Oryctolagus cuniculus: one gene and its partners. The protein of the gene in region 2 interacts with the protein of the main gene of each other region in a biochemical or structural test. Links are inferred from orthologs where the notes say so. Each region holds a gene or a part of one and is shown on either strand. Other genes may lie near its edges.

Region 1 (4,937 bases), on a different chromosome or scaffold from region 2:
GTGGGGGGTGGGGGGCTCCTAGTAGCTCTGGTGGTGGGCACAGGGCCCAGTAGTGCCGAGCCTGAGCACGCACGCACATGCACACGCACACGTACACGCACACACACTCACCCAGAACTCGGCCTTGCCATTGTTCTTCTTGCAGCGCTCGGCCAGCACTGATACGCCCACGGTCACCTCAGACATGGGCTCCTCGGCCGCCCGCATCAGCACAATCTGGATGACCCGGCCCTCGTAGATGTGAGCGTCGAACGTCGACTTCCACTCTGGGTACATGGTCGGCTTCTTCTGCACCAGTGTCTTCCCACGCTCTGCCAAGGGGCAGTGGGCCGGGTCGGGCTGGAGCCCCTGCCTCTCTACCCTCACACCCACCCAGCATTCAGCTCTGGCCGAACCCGCTGCCTCCTCTGCCCTGAGGACTCCCTGCAGCCGCTCCTGTCGCACCTGGAGTGTGCCCCACTGCACTCCTGCTGTTCCCTCTTCCCGTGAGCCTCTCGTGCCTCTTCAATGTCCCCTTTCCCTATGCACTCAGCAACGCAGCCGAGAGTTCCCGCTCGCCTGCCGTAGCACTGGGAGTGTGGAATGCCGCAGAAGGAAAAGCTAAACCCAGGGCCTGTGGTCCCGGAGCCCTGGGGCAGACAAGAACCAACCCATCTCTCAAGTAACCACTAAGTCACAGCGGCTCCAGACCCACCCAGTCATGCCCGTGGCCTGCCCCAGCCTAATGGTCGGGAAAGACTTCCTGGAGGAAGGGACAGCTCAGTTGAGACCTCAGGGGTGAGCAGGGATTCTCCAAGTGGGGGCAGAAGCAAGAGGGAAGCGTGTGAGCTGTGTGCCTCGTGCAGGAGGCCCTCCCTGGCCCCAGGCTGGAACGGGGCCTACTCTGGGCTTTTCTGCCCACGGAGGTGCCCAGCTGCCCGGCCTGAGCGTGAGCCATGTGCAGGCAGGCCAGTCAGGCCCTCAGAGCCCAGCACAGGACCTGGCAGGGGTGCACACATGGAAGCTGCTGGGGAGAAGCACCAACGAAGGGAAACAACCAAGCCCCGAGCAGGGTCCCGTCTCACCAGGTGCTCCAGGCCCTGGACACCTGCTGGCCTCTGCCTCTCTGTCCCTGCGTCCACAGCTGGTGGGGACAGAAAGGATGAAGCGCAGAAGGACCCCTTGGGGCTCCTAGGGAATGAGGCAAGGCCTCCTCCAGGCCCCTTTGCAGGCCCCGCCCTACCTGTGCTGAGCGCCTCCTTCATCTTCACGGCACAGAAGGGCTGGTTCGTCTCGTCCTCCACCTGCAGGGAGCCCAGCTCGTAGGAATTGAAGGAGATGCGCAGGAAGGGAGCCATGGTGGGGCCTGCGGGGGGTGGGGGAGGGTACACACACACAGGGGTGAGGCTAGGCCGCGAGGACAACCTCACAAGACCTCAGAGACCCACAGCCCAGGACTCTCACACCCCAAGACGTGTAAAATGCACTGGTCCTCGTGGCTCAAACTGAAAATTAACAAGTTTTATCTAAATCCGATGCCCGTTAGGCCCTCTGGATGCAGGCAGCTGGCTCTGGGATGGCCGCCCCCTTGGCGGAGCTCCCCCGGATGGGAGCACCCTCTCCACTCCTCTCCAGAGCCTACCTGGGCGCTGGAGGCCCTGGAGTCTGTGACCCTGAGACACACTCACCTGGGGAGCCACTAGCGCCACTGCTGGGCACGGACAGGTACCCCTGCAGCTCTTGGTGGTTTCGTTTGCTTTACTCACAATTGCCCAGGCAGACAAGCAGGGCCCAGAGGAGCACGCCCGCTTTTCACAAGATGAAACTGAAACTCAGGCCAAGCCAGAGCCGACAGCTGGGAACCCACTGACTTCGCATCCACTTTGTGCAGGGACCAGGGAGGCAGAGCTGTGCCCTGACCCTTCTGAGTTTGAGCCCGCCTGCCTGGAAGGTTGCTCGCATTTTCAGGCTCACTTTCCTCTCATATAAAACCGTAGTTTAAAGTTGAATGTGGGGCTGGCGCTGTGGCGCAGCAGGTTAATGCCCTGGCCCGAAGTGCCAGCATCCCATATAGGGCGCCGGTTCTAGTCCCAGCTGCTCCTCTTCCCATCCAGATCTCTGCTATGGCCTGGGATAGCAGTAGAAGATGGCTCAAGTCCTTGGGCCCCTGCACCCGCGTGGGAGACCTGGAAGAAGCTCCTGGCTCCTAGCTTTGGATAGGCGCAGTTCTGGCTGTTGTGGCCAATTAGGGAGTGAACCATCTCTTTCTGTTTCTCTTTCTCTTTCTCTTTCTCTTTCTCTTTCTCTTTCTCTTTCTCTTTCTCTTTCTCTGCCTCTGCCTCTGCCTCTGCCTCTGCCTCTGCCTCTGCCTCTGCCTCTGCCTCTGCCTCTGCCTCTCCTCTCTATGTGTAACTCTGACTCTCAAGTAAAAAATAAATAAATATTTTTTTAAATTTTTTAATTAAAAAAACTTTTTTTTTGACAGGCAGAGTGGACAGTGAGAGAGAGAGACAGAGAGAAAGGTCTTCCTTTGTGTTGGTTCACCCTCCAATGGCTGCTGCGGCCAGCGCACCGCGCTGATCCGATGGCAGGAGCCAGGTACTTCTCCTGGTCTCCCATGGGGTGCAGGGCCCAAGCACCTGGGCCATCCTCCACTGCACTTCCTGTCCACAGCAGAGAGCTGGCCTGGAAGAGGGGCAACCGGGACAGAATCTGGCGCCCCGACCGGGACTAGAACCCGGTGTGCCGGCGCCGCAAGGCGGAGGATTAGCCTAGTGAGCCGCGGCGCCGGCCAAAAAATAAATAAATCTTTTAAAAAAAAGTTGAATGTAATGCCAAGAGCACTTTACATGGTCACACAGCTTGGTTCCCGCATTCCCCTGTTCCTCACCATCCCCCAAATCACTACAGGAGAGGACCAGAGAGACTTCTCAGCTTGCCGTTTGTGGAAGGCACTCAGGTGTGCAAGCCTGAACATCATGTACACTCACACTCTTGCATGGACACGGGCTCCCAGCCCAAGGTGCTCCTTAATGAAGGCTGTGTGAATGCACACACACACACACACACACACACACGGACTTACTCTATCCTGAACATGACCCAGCAGCTGGACAAAAGCAGACACGTACCCCTACCCTATCCGAGTACACACGAACAGTGGCCTGGCCCTGGCGATGGCTCCTTCCAGCTCCCTGACAGGCAGCAAGAGTGGCAGGCAGATCTGCTGGGAGCACCCAGCCCAGATGAGCTCACAGGAAACTCTGACCTCAGCCTGTAGCCCAGCCCAGCTCAGTGGACCTGGCCAGCCTTCTCCAGCCAGCAGCCAGAGAGCCAGGAGGAACCAGGGGGAGCAGCAGACCCCAGCACAGCCCCTGCCCAGGCTTGGCTCCTTAGGGTGGGTGTGAGAGACAAACACAAGCTCATGCCTGAGCCCAGGCCAGCTGCTCACAACCTCTTGGTCAGCAGAGAGCAGGAGCTGGTTGGGGGCTGCTGCGTGCTCCTTCGTGGGCTGACACACGGAACAGTGTGTGTTTATGTGCGTGGGGTAACAGGTGCATGTGAGCATGAGTGTGCAGCCGTGAGGTGTGTGTGCCCACGAGGCCTTAGGGGTGCGTGGCCCACGGTGGGCATTCAGTAACAGCTGCAGCAAAAACCCAAGGTGCACTGGGCTGGTCTCTAGCCTGTGCATGGGCTAAGTGAGGCCCAAATCGGCAGGCAAGGAAGACATGGGGCCGCCCCTGCTGCCGCTCACCACAGGTCTGGGTCCCCCTGCCTGGGGCCTTGTGCTTTCCGGCAGGATAACCTAGAAACAGCTTGGGCACGAGTGCCAAGTGAGGGCAGGTAGGCAGAAATAAAGGAGGGGCAAGTACCCTGTGGGGATCAGGGCAGCCCAAGTGGCAAAAGGATGGCCAGCTGCTTAGGCACAAGACTCTGACACCAAGTCTGCCTCGGCCCTGGCCTCTCGGGGCTGTCACCCCCTCCTGCAGATGGAAAGCAGCCCCTCCTCTGCATCAGGCCGTCATGCTGATGACAGCTCCTGTGGGATGAGGGCCGGGAGGGGTCCCCTTGTCATCACCCCATCCTTCTCCCATGCACCTTCAGTGTCCATCCCAGCCACCCAATAGCCTGGGAAGAAGCCCTGGCTACTGACCCACTTCTCAGACAGGCAGACCCAACCTCCAGGAACACAAGCAACTCGGCCTGTGCTGCTCCTCACCACCTCCCACTGGCCCCTGACTGCCCGCAGGCTCTGTGGCTTCCGAGGAGACTGCCTCTGGGTGAGAGAAGCCTCAGCCGGGTGAGGCAGGACCCAGCCCCGCGGGCTGTCCCCCAGCTTTCCACGGTCACACTCAGAACAGCTGCTGCTCAGTCAGAAGCCACTGGAAGGAAACCACAACCACAACCACAGCAGGCCCGGGCCCCAGCCCTCAACCTACAGAGCCAGGCCGCAGTGCCATGAAGGCAGGGGATCCGTGGCCTTCGTGGGCTGCCACGGGCCACCCAGCAGTAACCCTGGGTCAGACTACCCTGTCCCGTGTCCTAGGACTAACACTGAGGGCAAGGGCCCTGGCCAGCTGCTCCTACCTCCTCTGCTCTCAACAGACCACTCCCAGGAGGAAGACAGCAGCTGCTTCCATCACTGTGTGACCCCAAGAGAGAGGTCATGGTCCTCTCCGGGCCACAGCCCTCTCCCCCACCCCCTCCTGTGAACAACAGGGCCAGAGCCTTTCCCCCTACCTTGCAGAGGCTCAACGGCAGGGGCAAGACGAGGGGGTGAAGCAGCAGCACAAGAACAAGGTGCGCCCACTATTTATAGCCCCCATGCAAATAGGCCCAGGCCCACAGGCCCCAAAGTGGGGCCACTGGCTCAGCCTTAGACTCACAGCCATTCTGTTCTGCCAGGCCACAGGACTCACAGGGGCCAGACCCCACACAGCCTCCATGGGGACTGGCTC
Region 2 (4,990 bases):
TTTAATGTATCAGCCCCATCAGAAAATATCCAACGAATAAACTCTTCCTGTTTATACAGCTATGTTTCTTTGACCTCAGGGGAGTTCCTGGCACATAGCATACACTCACTAAGTAGCTTTGGAAGTGGAAATGAACTGAAACACAGCACAGCCAGCGCCGCACGGGCTGAATGTGACGTTGGTGAGCAAATGGGGGTGCGTGAAACATTGAAAATGCCAAATAGAAGGCGCTGCAAAAAGTTTTTAAAAAATGAGAACAAAAAGTTTATTTTAGTGCAAGAAAATTTTCAAATGCTGTGAATTTTCATATAAGATTTCTCTTTTTGAAAAATATGTGCCAATTTAATTCCAAAAGTATTCTCACTGCTCCTCAGGTCAGTCATGGAACCATGAATTGCTGTTTCCTCCAGGTCATAAAACTGAGCTTCAGAGAAGCCAAATTCTTTGTCTTCAAGTGGCCGTATGTGTTAGGAACTGGTCTCCTGATTTCAAAGCTGGATACTAGTGAAAGTCCCATAAGCCAGCCATGATAGAGGAGACAGGCAATGCTGGTTAGAAATGGATTACAAAGGAAAAGGCAGTCTAGAAAGGATGTACACTTCTGAGACTCCTGAAGCATGAAGCCACAGGAAGCTCAATACCTACACGCACGGTGACGGTGTTGGGCAGTTTGCAGAACGTCGTTTCCACACCGATTAATTTAACGTCAAAGGCAAGATGCTCTGCCAGCCGGGACGCTGCGAGCCTGCACGTGAGGAAAGGCCTCCTGGCCTTTTGGTTTACAATTTCCCTTCTTACGGAAAACACAGTAAGGGGGAGTAGCGGGAAATGAAGCCTGGGGCCGATTCAGAGACGCAAAAGACGGAAAACGGCGACCAAGTGAAAACAGTAAACGCCGTCCCTTAAAGGGAAAGATTAACAGGAGCGTGAACGGGAGCTGGAACTCCAGATAGAGGAACCGCGCGGGAAAGGCATGGAGGCGGGGGGAGGCGAGAGGACCTCGGCCCCACAGGGACAGGCGTTCAGAGGCGCCGGCAGCCTGTAAATGGCGGGCCCAGCACCTGCGGTAGCGGCGAGGACCCACCCTCCCTCCCTAACTGGTGAGAAAAGGGGATTCATTGGGTTGAACTTCATTCTCCTTCTCGACTTCAGCATCACTAGTTCATCTTTGTGCCGATTAAAGCTAGGTCCCCGATGTCATGACGCCCGAGGCATAGGACTAGTGGCAGCCGTCGGGGTGCTCCTGCTGGTGTGCCTTGTATACGTACGTGGATGCGCCTGCACTGGCCCTTGGTGGTGAGCTAGCAGCCTAGCTCCTGGCAAGAGGGAGACGCAAAGACAAACCAGCCTACGGAGGGCGGCGAGAAGAGCCCGCCACGGCTCTTCATTTACGGGACGCTATGCACAGAACACAAGGCAGCTAGCTGTCCGCGACTGCGTCACATATGCGTCACCCAATCGAAGGCTCTACCCTACATCACCCTATTCCATTGGCCTAAATGAAAACAGCGCAGGAGCCAATCGCACGGCCACCTCTTCGCGCTCAGCAGAAGCAGCAACATAATCTACTTTCTACTTGCAGCTTTCGGCTGCGTGTTTAACTATGTCCGGACGCGGCAGGCAGAGGCGAGGTGCGCATCAAGGCCAAGACGCGGCATCCCGGGCCGGGTTGCAGTTCCCCGTGGGCCACGTGGACCGGCTGCTGCGCAAGGGCAACCGCGCGGAGCGGGGGGGGCGCCCGTGCACCTGGCGGCCGAGACCCTGGAGCTGGCGGGCTACGCAGTGCGCAACAAGACGCGCACCTGCAGTTACCATCCGCAACGAGCTTAAAGCTGCGCGTCGGCTTGTGCCCGCATCGAAGGCTCTTTTCAGAGCCATGGAAACCGCTCCTGGAGAGCCAACGTCCCCCGGGGCCAGGTGGCGAGGGCTACCCCCGACAGGCGAGTGGGGGGGGACACTACACTCCGTGGAATGGTAGGGCACTCGAAGCCCACATAGCTACGTGCGAGCCTGGCTGGACACGAGCGAAGGGTGGACAGACAGCTCTCTCCAGAGGTCTCTGGGTGGCTCTGAAAAGAGCCTTTGGGGCTTGGTCGGTGGCCAGACGGCGCAGCTTTTTACTTCTTCTTGGCGGCCGTCTTCTTGGCCTTCGCGGCCTTGGGCTTGGCGGCCTTGGGCTTGGGAGCCTTGGGCTTGGCGGCCTTCGGCTTCACAGCCTTGGGCTTGGCGGGGCTCTTGGCCGCCTTCTTGGGCTTGGCCGCAGCCTTGGCCTTCTTGGGGCTCTTGGCCACCTTCTTGACGGCCGCCGCCGCGGGCTTCTTGGCCTTCTTGGGCGTCTTCTTCACCGCCTTCTTGGCCCCCGCGGCCTTCTTGGGCTTCTTGGGGGTGGCGCCCGCGGGCTTCTTGGGCTTGGCCGCGCCCGCCTTCTTGGCCTTGGGCTTGGCCTCGCCAGACGCTGCCTTCTTGTTGAGCTTGAAGGAGCCCGAGGCGCCGGTGCCTTTGGTCTGCACCAGGGTGCCCTTGCTCACCAGGCTCTTGAGGCCCAGCTTGATGCGGCTGTTGTTCTTCTCCACGTCGTAGCCGCCCGCCGCCAGCGCCTTCTTGAGCGCGGCCAGCGAGAGCCCGTTGCGCTCCTTGGAGGCGGCCACGGCCTTGGTGATCAGCTCGGACACCGGGGGCCCGGCGGCCTTGCGCTTCGCCGCGCCCGCGCCCGGTTTCTTGGCCGCCTTCTTCTTGGCGGGGGACTTCTCGGCAGGCGCCGGAGCGGCGGTCTCGGCAGGAGCGGCTTCCGACATGGCGGCAGGAGTCGCTGCGGAGCCCAGAGCACAAGTTTTGGCGATGCCGCCTCGCTCGGGTCGGGGCTTATATAAGCCGGCGCTGCCTCGTGATTGGTGGAGCGTCCAATCCGCCGCCCTCGGGCCGCCGCCGCTCGAGGCTGCGTCTCCAGGTTGTGTTTGTTCGTCCCCGAAATTCGATTAAATGCAGAAAACATCGGCACGGAATTTGACGCTTAGGCGTTCCAAAGGAGGAAACCAGCCCCCAGGTTCACGGACTTGTTTGTGGGTTCGTCAACCGAGCGCAATGGAGGCGGGATATTCTTAAAAATCCCTGCGGCGTTTGGTGAGAACCCCTTGGGCTGACGGTATCCTGCTACTTAGTTGCAAGTTGCAATAAATTTCGAACAAGTATCCAGCGAACAGCGTTTAGAAGGGTTTATTCCTAGTGTCAGCCTTTGATTCCTAGAAGAGGAGCGGCGCTGGGTTCCTTGGTTTGGACGGAAACATTGTTTCTAGCTGTAGCAAGTAGCACAGGGAGTGCGCAGCTGGCTGTCTGCAGCCTCACGCCGGTCACACCGAACTGGCTGTAAAGACAGTTTATGGGGGCCGAGGAGGTCTTCAGGGAATGAGGTTTTCAGCTTGGGAAATCTGGGTTTTCAGAGCGATTGTTGCGAATAGCAACCGGAGGGTCAGAAAAGCCCTTGACTTTAGAATCCAACTCCTTGAAATCAAACTCTAAATTTTGTACATTTCCTAATTAGGATACTTACTTTAATTGCTGGTTTAAATCTATTAAAATAGACATGATATTTAACAGATAATTTGCATTACCAAAACAACCTCTCAAGTATGAAAAATGAACCAGGTCGCCTAGTAACCTAATAAGCGCACGAGTGCTTAAAGATGTAGGGTGATGTCTGGTCTCCGAAGCGTTCTTCCCAATGTCTGCACTGATTTCCGACAGCACTGCGTGAACTACATGATCACAAGTGCTCTTTTCTGTAAGCAGCCAGGGTGGACCAGTATGGGTGTTTTTGCAGACTCATTTTTTGGAAGACGAATTGGATACTGACTGTGGAAGGCTGAGCTGCAGTTTTCGAGAGGCTGAATGCTCTTACGGTTCAGAAAAGGATCCTGAAACAACTGAGACGAAGGCCATGAGGTCGGAATGAGGAGCGGGGTTTGCTCTCGAAGAGGGGGGAGCAGGCAGCATTTTAAAGGAGCTCAAGCAACTTTAGTTCCATATTGAAATCATTTTAGTTTGTGCCAGTGGAAAGCTGTGCAGCGATGTACAGGCCATTTTCTCTTTAGAATCTCCCAGGAGGTTGGCAAACCGCAGTCTGAACTGGATAGTGCCCTGTTCTGTGTGGTGCTCAATCTTTAAGTTGTTACGTCTTTTTTAAACGGTTCGAAACGATGTGGTCTGCAATGTGTGAACTTTACTGCCCGCGTTTTCCACCATGTTCTATAATCCTCCACACAGGCATACAGATGTTGCTACAGGCCCTTTTGAGAAACTCTAAGAAAATGTTTGCACTAAGCACTTTTCACCGTCCCCAGCACAGCTCTCAGAAAGGGACCAGGGAAAACCCCCAAAACCATCCTTAGGGAGCTCTGGGGGTTAACAATGCAGCCAGCATTCTTTAGGGAGTGCATGTGCGGGTTTTACTCACTTGCCAACCTCACAGCTTTCTAAGCTGAGGCCCTCAGGGGAAGAGTAACACACCGTAGGCGAATAGCTGGAGGAGTAACACATCAGACGCGAGTAGCTGGCCGTTGAGGTTGAGCCTCACCCTGTTTCAGCTCTACAGGGGAAAACAAGTTGGGGGCAGGTACACTTGGTAGAAAGCGCGCCAAGTTGTCCTAGCTAAAGAGGCTTCTGGCCCACGGGTCGTTAACTTATTTGCGAGCCGCAGCGAGAAAGCTCTTGTTCCCGTTTCCGATCAAAAACATGGAGAAAAAGACCAACTGATGGGATCATATATAGTTGCAGGGGAAACCCCAAACCGTGACAGGAAACCTGGGGAAATCTTTATGGCTTAGGAACTTGAAAAAGGTTTGACCGGACACAAAGTTTCTGCGCCCAGTAGCCATGGGCACCGACCAGCAGACAGCTCCTCCGGCACGTCACGTGGAAACAGCCACGCTGGGCCGTGTGGCTGCACCACAGCCTGTATAAAGGACACTACCAACCTTCAAACACGCAACCACGG
Region 3 (3,797 bases), on a different chromosome or scaffold from region 2:
TGCCTGCAATGTTGGCATCCCCCTTGAGCCCCAGTTCCAGTCCCTGCTGCTCTACTTCTGATCCAGCTCCTTGTTAGTGCACCTGGGAAAGGAGCAGAAGGTGGCCTAAGTGTTGGGCTCCTGCCACCCATTTGGGAGACCTGGATGGAAGTTCCTGGCTTGGGTCCTCAAGCTGTTGTGGCTATTTTAGGAATGACCAATGGATGGAAAATCTGTCTCTCCCTCTCTCTCTAACTCTTTCAAATACATCTTTAGAAAAAGAAGAAAACTTGGGTTCTAAATGCCCCCAGAGCAATTTTGTGTGGTAACTAACGGTTCTTTCTGAAATATAAGTATCACAGAGAGTCTTGCTTTTGAGGGTAAATCTGCATTTTCTTTTGCAGGAAGAGCAATCAGTCAGACCGAAATACCTCCTGGGTCGGGAAGTCACTGGAAACATGAGGGCCATCCTAATCGACTGGCTAGTCCAGGTTCAGATGAAGTTCAGGCTGCTGCAGGAGACCATGTACATGACTGTTTCCATAATTGATCGGTTCATGCAGGTGCGCATAAGTCATTAATTGAGGGTTCTCCCTTCAGGGTCTTAGCAGAGTCATAAGAAACTGACTTTTTCAGCTAAAATTTGTCATGGGGCATAGGGTGTCATAATTGAGACACCCTATGAGTGTATGTCTTTGCCCACCTCTGCTTCACAGCTCTTGTGTCTGCTTTTCAAACACATTACCTACTCAGCAGTTGCAATTCCCATTGCAGGACAATTGTGTGCCCAAGAAGATGCTGCAGCTGGTTGGTGTCACTGCCATGTTTATTGCAAGCAAATATGAAGAAATGTACCCTCCAGAAATTGGTGACTTTGCTTTTGTGACTAACAACACCTACACTAAGCACCAAATCAGACAGATGGAAATGAAGATTCTCAGAGTTTTAAACTTTGGCCTGGGTCGCCCTCTCCCCTTACACTTCCTTCGGAGAGCATCTAAGATCGGAGAGGTACAGATAACGAGAGAACACTGCTACACCTGTATTTAAGTAACAAGCCGCACAAGGAAAGAATAATTGTTTCAGTCAGGTTGTATGTTAATTAATAGTAAGACCTTCATGGGCAATTGCATTTTGTAGTTACAGATATGGGCATGCAGGTTTTTGTCAACATTAAAGTCTCTGGGCTGGCGCTGTGGCTCACTTGGCTAATCCTCCACCTTGCGGCGCGGGCATCCCGGGTTCTAGTCCTGGTTGGGGCATCGGATTCTGTCCCGGTTGCTCCTCTTCCAGGCCAGCTCTCTGCTGTGGCCAGGGAGTGCAGTGGAGGATGGCCCAAGTGCTTGGGCCCTGCACCCGCATGGGAGACCAGGAGAAGCACCTGGCTCCTGGCTTGGGATCAGTGCAGTGCGCACTGTAGCTGCCACTTGAGGGGTAAACCAATGGCAAAGGAAGACCTTTCTCTTTGTCTCTCTCACTGTCTTAACTCTGCCTGTCAAAAAAAAAGTCTCAGGCCGGCGCCGCGGCTCACTAGGCTAATCCTCTGCCTAGCGGCGCCGGTACACCGGGTTCTAGTCCCGGTTGGGGCACCGGATTCTGTCCCGGTTGCCCCTCTTCCAGTCCAGCTCTCTGCTGTGGCCGGGAGTGCAGTGGAGGATGGCCCAAGTGCTTGGGCCCTGCACCCCATGGGAGACCAGGAGAAGCACCTGGCTCCTGGCTCCTGCCTTTGGATCAGCGCGGTGCGCTGGCCGCAGCGCGCCGGCCGCGGCGGCCATTGGAGGGTGAACCAACGGCAAAGGAAGACCTTTCTCTCTGTCTCTCTCTCTCTGTCCACTCTGCCTGTCAAAAAAAAAAAAAAGTCTCTGAGAGAAGCTAAGTGATGTATGGACTTTGTTCCAGGTTGATGTTGAGCAGCATACTTTGGCCAAATACCTGATGGAACTGACTATGCTGGACTATGACATGGTGCACTTTCCTCCTTCTCAGATTGCAGCAGGAGCCTTTTGCTTAGCACTGAAAATTCTTGATAATGGTGAATGGGTAAGCATTAGCTCAGAACTACTAAGCTTTAAATTGCAAATGGTGTTTGACTGAATACAGAGTCTTTGTCATAAAGAAACAATTCTATTAGTTCTTACATATGGAACTGACTGAAGGACTAAGACCATCTTGTGATGTCTTTTTCATAGCATGCTTTTATTTTGAATTTATATACCCCTCTAAGAAAGGTAGAACAGCTGTCACTGCTTACAGATGGAGAAAAAAGTCGGCAGTTACAATAATGTAATTAGGTTTGAGCCAGGAACAGAAAAAAGCACCTGGGGTAGAGGTGTTAACGCTTATTCTAAAGTTTCGATTATAAGTATTCATTTAGTATCTTGAGATTTTATGCACATCTTCTTGTTGAGCACTTTTTGACACATATTTGTCGTTGTCGCAGACGCCAACCCTACAGCATTACCTGTCATACACCGAGGAAGCTCTCCTTCCTGTCATGCAGCACCTGGCTAAGAATATAGTGATGGTGAATCGTGGGCTTACAAAGCACATGGTGAGTCAGTCGGTGGCGTTGCAAGATGCCAGGGAAAACGATGTAAATGCATAACTTATTTTTACAGAGTTTGTATTTTTAATGCCTTGTGGTTTGCTTTTCCAGACCATCAAGAACAAGTATGCCACATCTAAGCATGCTAAGATCAGCACTCTAGCCCAGCTGAATTCTGCACTGGTTCAAGACTTAGCCAAGGCTGTGGCCAAGGTGTAACTTATAAACTTGAGTTGGAATACTGTATCTGCAAATAAAATTGGCACCATGTGCCCCTGTACATATTATACTACATTTACTTTTAATAAAGGTTGTAACCCTTTTTACTTTTTATGGCTGAACTCATTTGAATGTGGTTACTTCCTACTTCAGGGTAACCTAAAAGGTGTGATGGGAAGTAATTTTTAAATTTGTTTTGATTTACCTGGGGATCTAAATAATGTATATAATAGTCATCTGTATGTTTTATTTTTATTTTTTTAAAGATTTATTTATTTATTTGAAAGAGTTACACGGAGATAGAAGGAGAGGCAGCAGAGAGGTCTTCATCTGCTGGTTCACTCCCCAGAGGGCCACAACGGCCAGAGCTGCACCAATCCACAGCCAGGAGCCTATTCCAAATCTCCCACGTGGGTGCAGGGGCCCAAAGACTTGGGCCATCTTCCACTGCTCTCCCAGGCCACAGCAGAGAGCTGGATTGGAAGAGGAGCAGCCAGGACTTGAACTGGTGCCCATGTGGGAGGTGGTGCTTAAGGCCAGGGCTTTAACCTGCTGCACCACAGCGCAAGCCCCCATCTGAATGTTTATATACTTGGTTCTTGTTTTATGTGCCTGGCTTTTACTTTATTAACATGAGTTCCTGAGGCAGTAAAGGTTTCTAAAACTTGCATGGGGTATCATTCTGGAGAATTTTCTGCCCTGTTTTAAAGTGAAAGTCTACTACCCCGTGCCTGGTGCCTTCTTGCCTGTTTCTTTGCTGCTGCTGCTGCTTCTGCCATAATTCTAAATGATTCATGACCATTTCTTGAATTACAGCCCTAGCATGTTAAATTTTCTCACATTGACAAGCAAAAACTTTTTTTTTTTTTTTTTGACAGGCAGAGTGGACAGTGAGAGAGAGAGACAGAGAAAGGTCTTCCTTTGCCATTGGTTCACCCTCCAATGGCCGCCACGGCCAGCGCACCGCGCTGATCCAAAGGCAGGAGCCAGGTGCTTTTCCTGGTCTCCCATGGGGTGCAGGGCCCAAGTACTTGGACCATCCTCCACTGCACTC

The links.
Region 1: of the proteins of H1-5 (region 2) and PRKCD, one has a biochemical effect on the other in vitro, tested with the Homo sapiens proteins (2 studies listed by BioGRID). The link is inferred for Oryctolagus cuniculus from reciprocal best matches to the Homo sapiens genes H1-5 and PRKCD.
Region 3: of the proteins of H1-5 (region 2) and CCNB1, one has a biochemical effect on the other in vitro, tested with the Homo sapiens proteins (2 studies listed by BioGRID). The link is inferred for Oryctolagus cuniculus from reciprocal best matches to the Homo sapiens genes H1-5 and CCNB1.

The regions. Positions count from the first base shown.
Region 1 is NC_091441.1:96,622,681-96,627,617, forward strand, and holds part of PRKCD (protein kinase C delta type), read right to left. Parts: intron 1,346-4,937; 5' UTR 1,338-1,345; coding exon 1,223-1,337; intron 312-1,222; coding exon 112-311; intron 1-111.
Region 2 is NC_091436.1:169,836,806-169,841,795, forward strand, and holds H1-5 (histone H1.5), read right to left. Parts: upstream 2,852-4,990; 5' UTR 2,796-2,851; coding exon 2,118-2,795; 3' UTR 1,037-2,117; downstream 1-1,036. UniProt on the Homo sapiens protein: Histone H1 protein binds to linker DNA between nucleosomes forming the macromolecular structure known as the chromatin fiber. Histones H1 are necessary for the condensation of nucleosome chains into higher-order structured fibers.
Region 3 is NC_091445.1:90,151,370-90,155,166, forward strand, and holds the end of CCNB1 (G2/mitotic-specific cyclin-B1), read left to right. Parts: intron 1-383; coding exon 384-542; intron 543-753; coding exon 754-990; intron 991-1,878; coding exon 1,879-2,019; intron 2,020-2,419; coding exon 2,420-2,530; intron 2,531-2,635; coding exon 2,636-2,743; 3' UTR 2,744-2,855; downstream 2,856-3,797. UniProt on the Homo sapiens protein: Essential for the control of the cell cycle at the G2/M (mitosis) transition.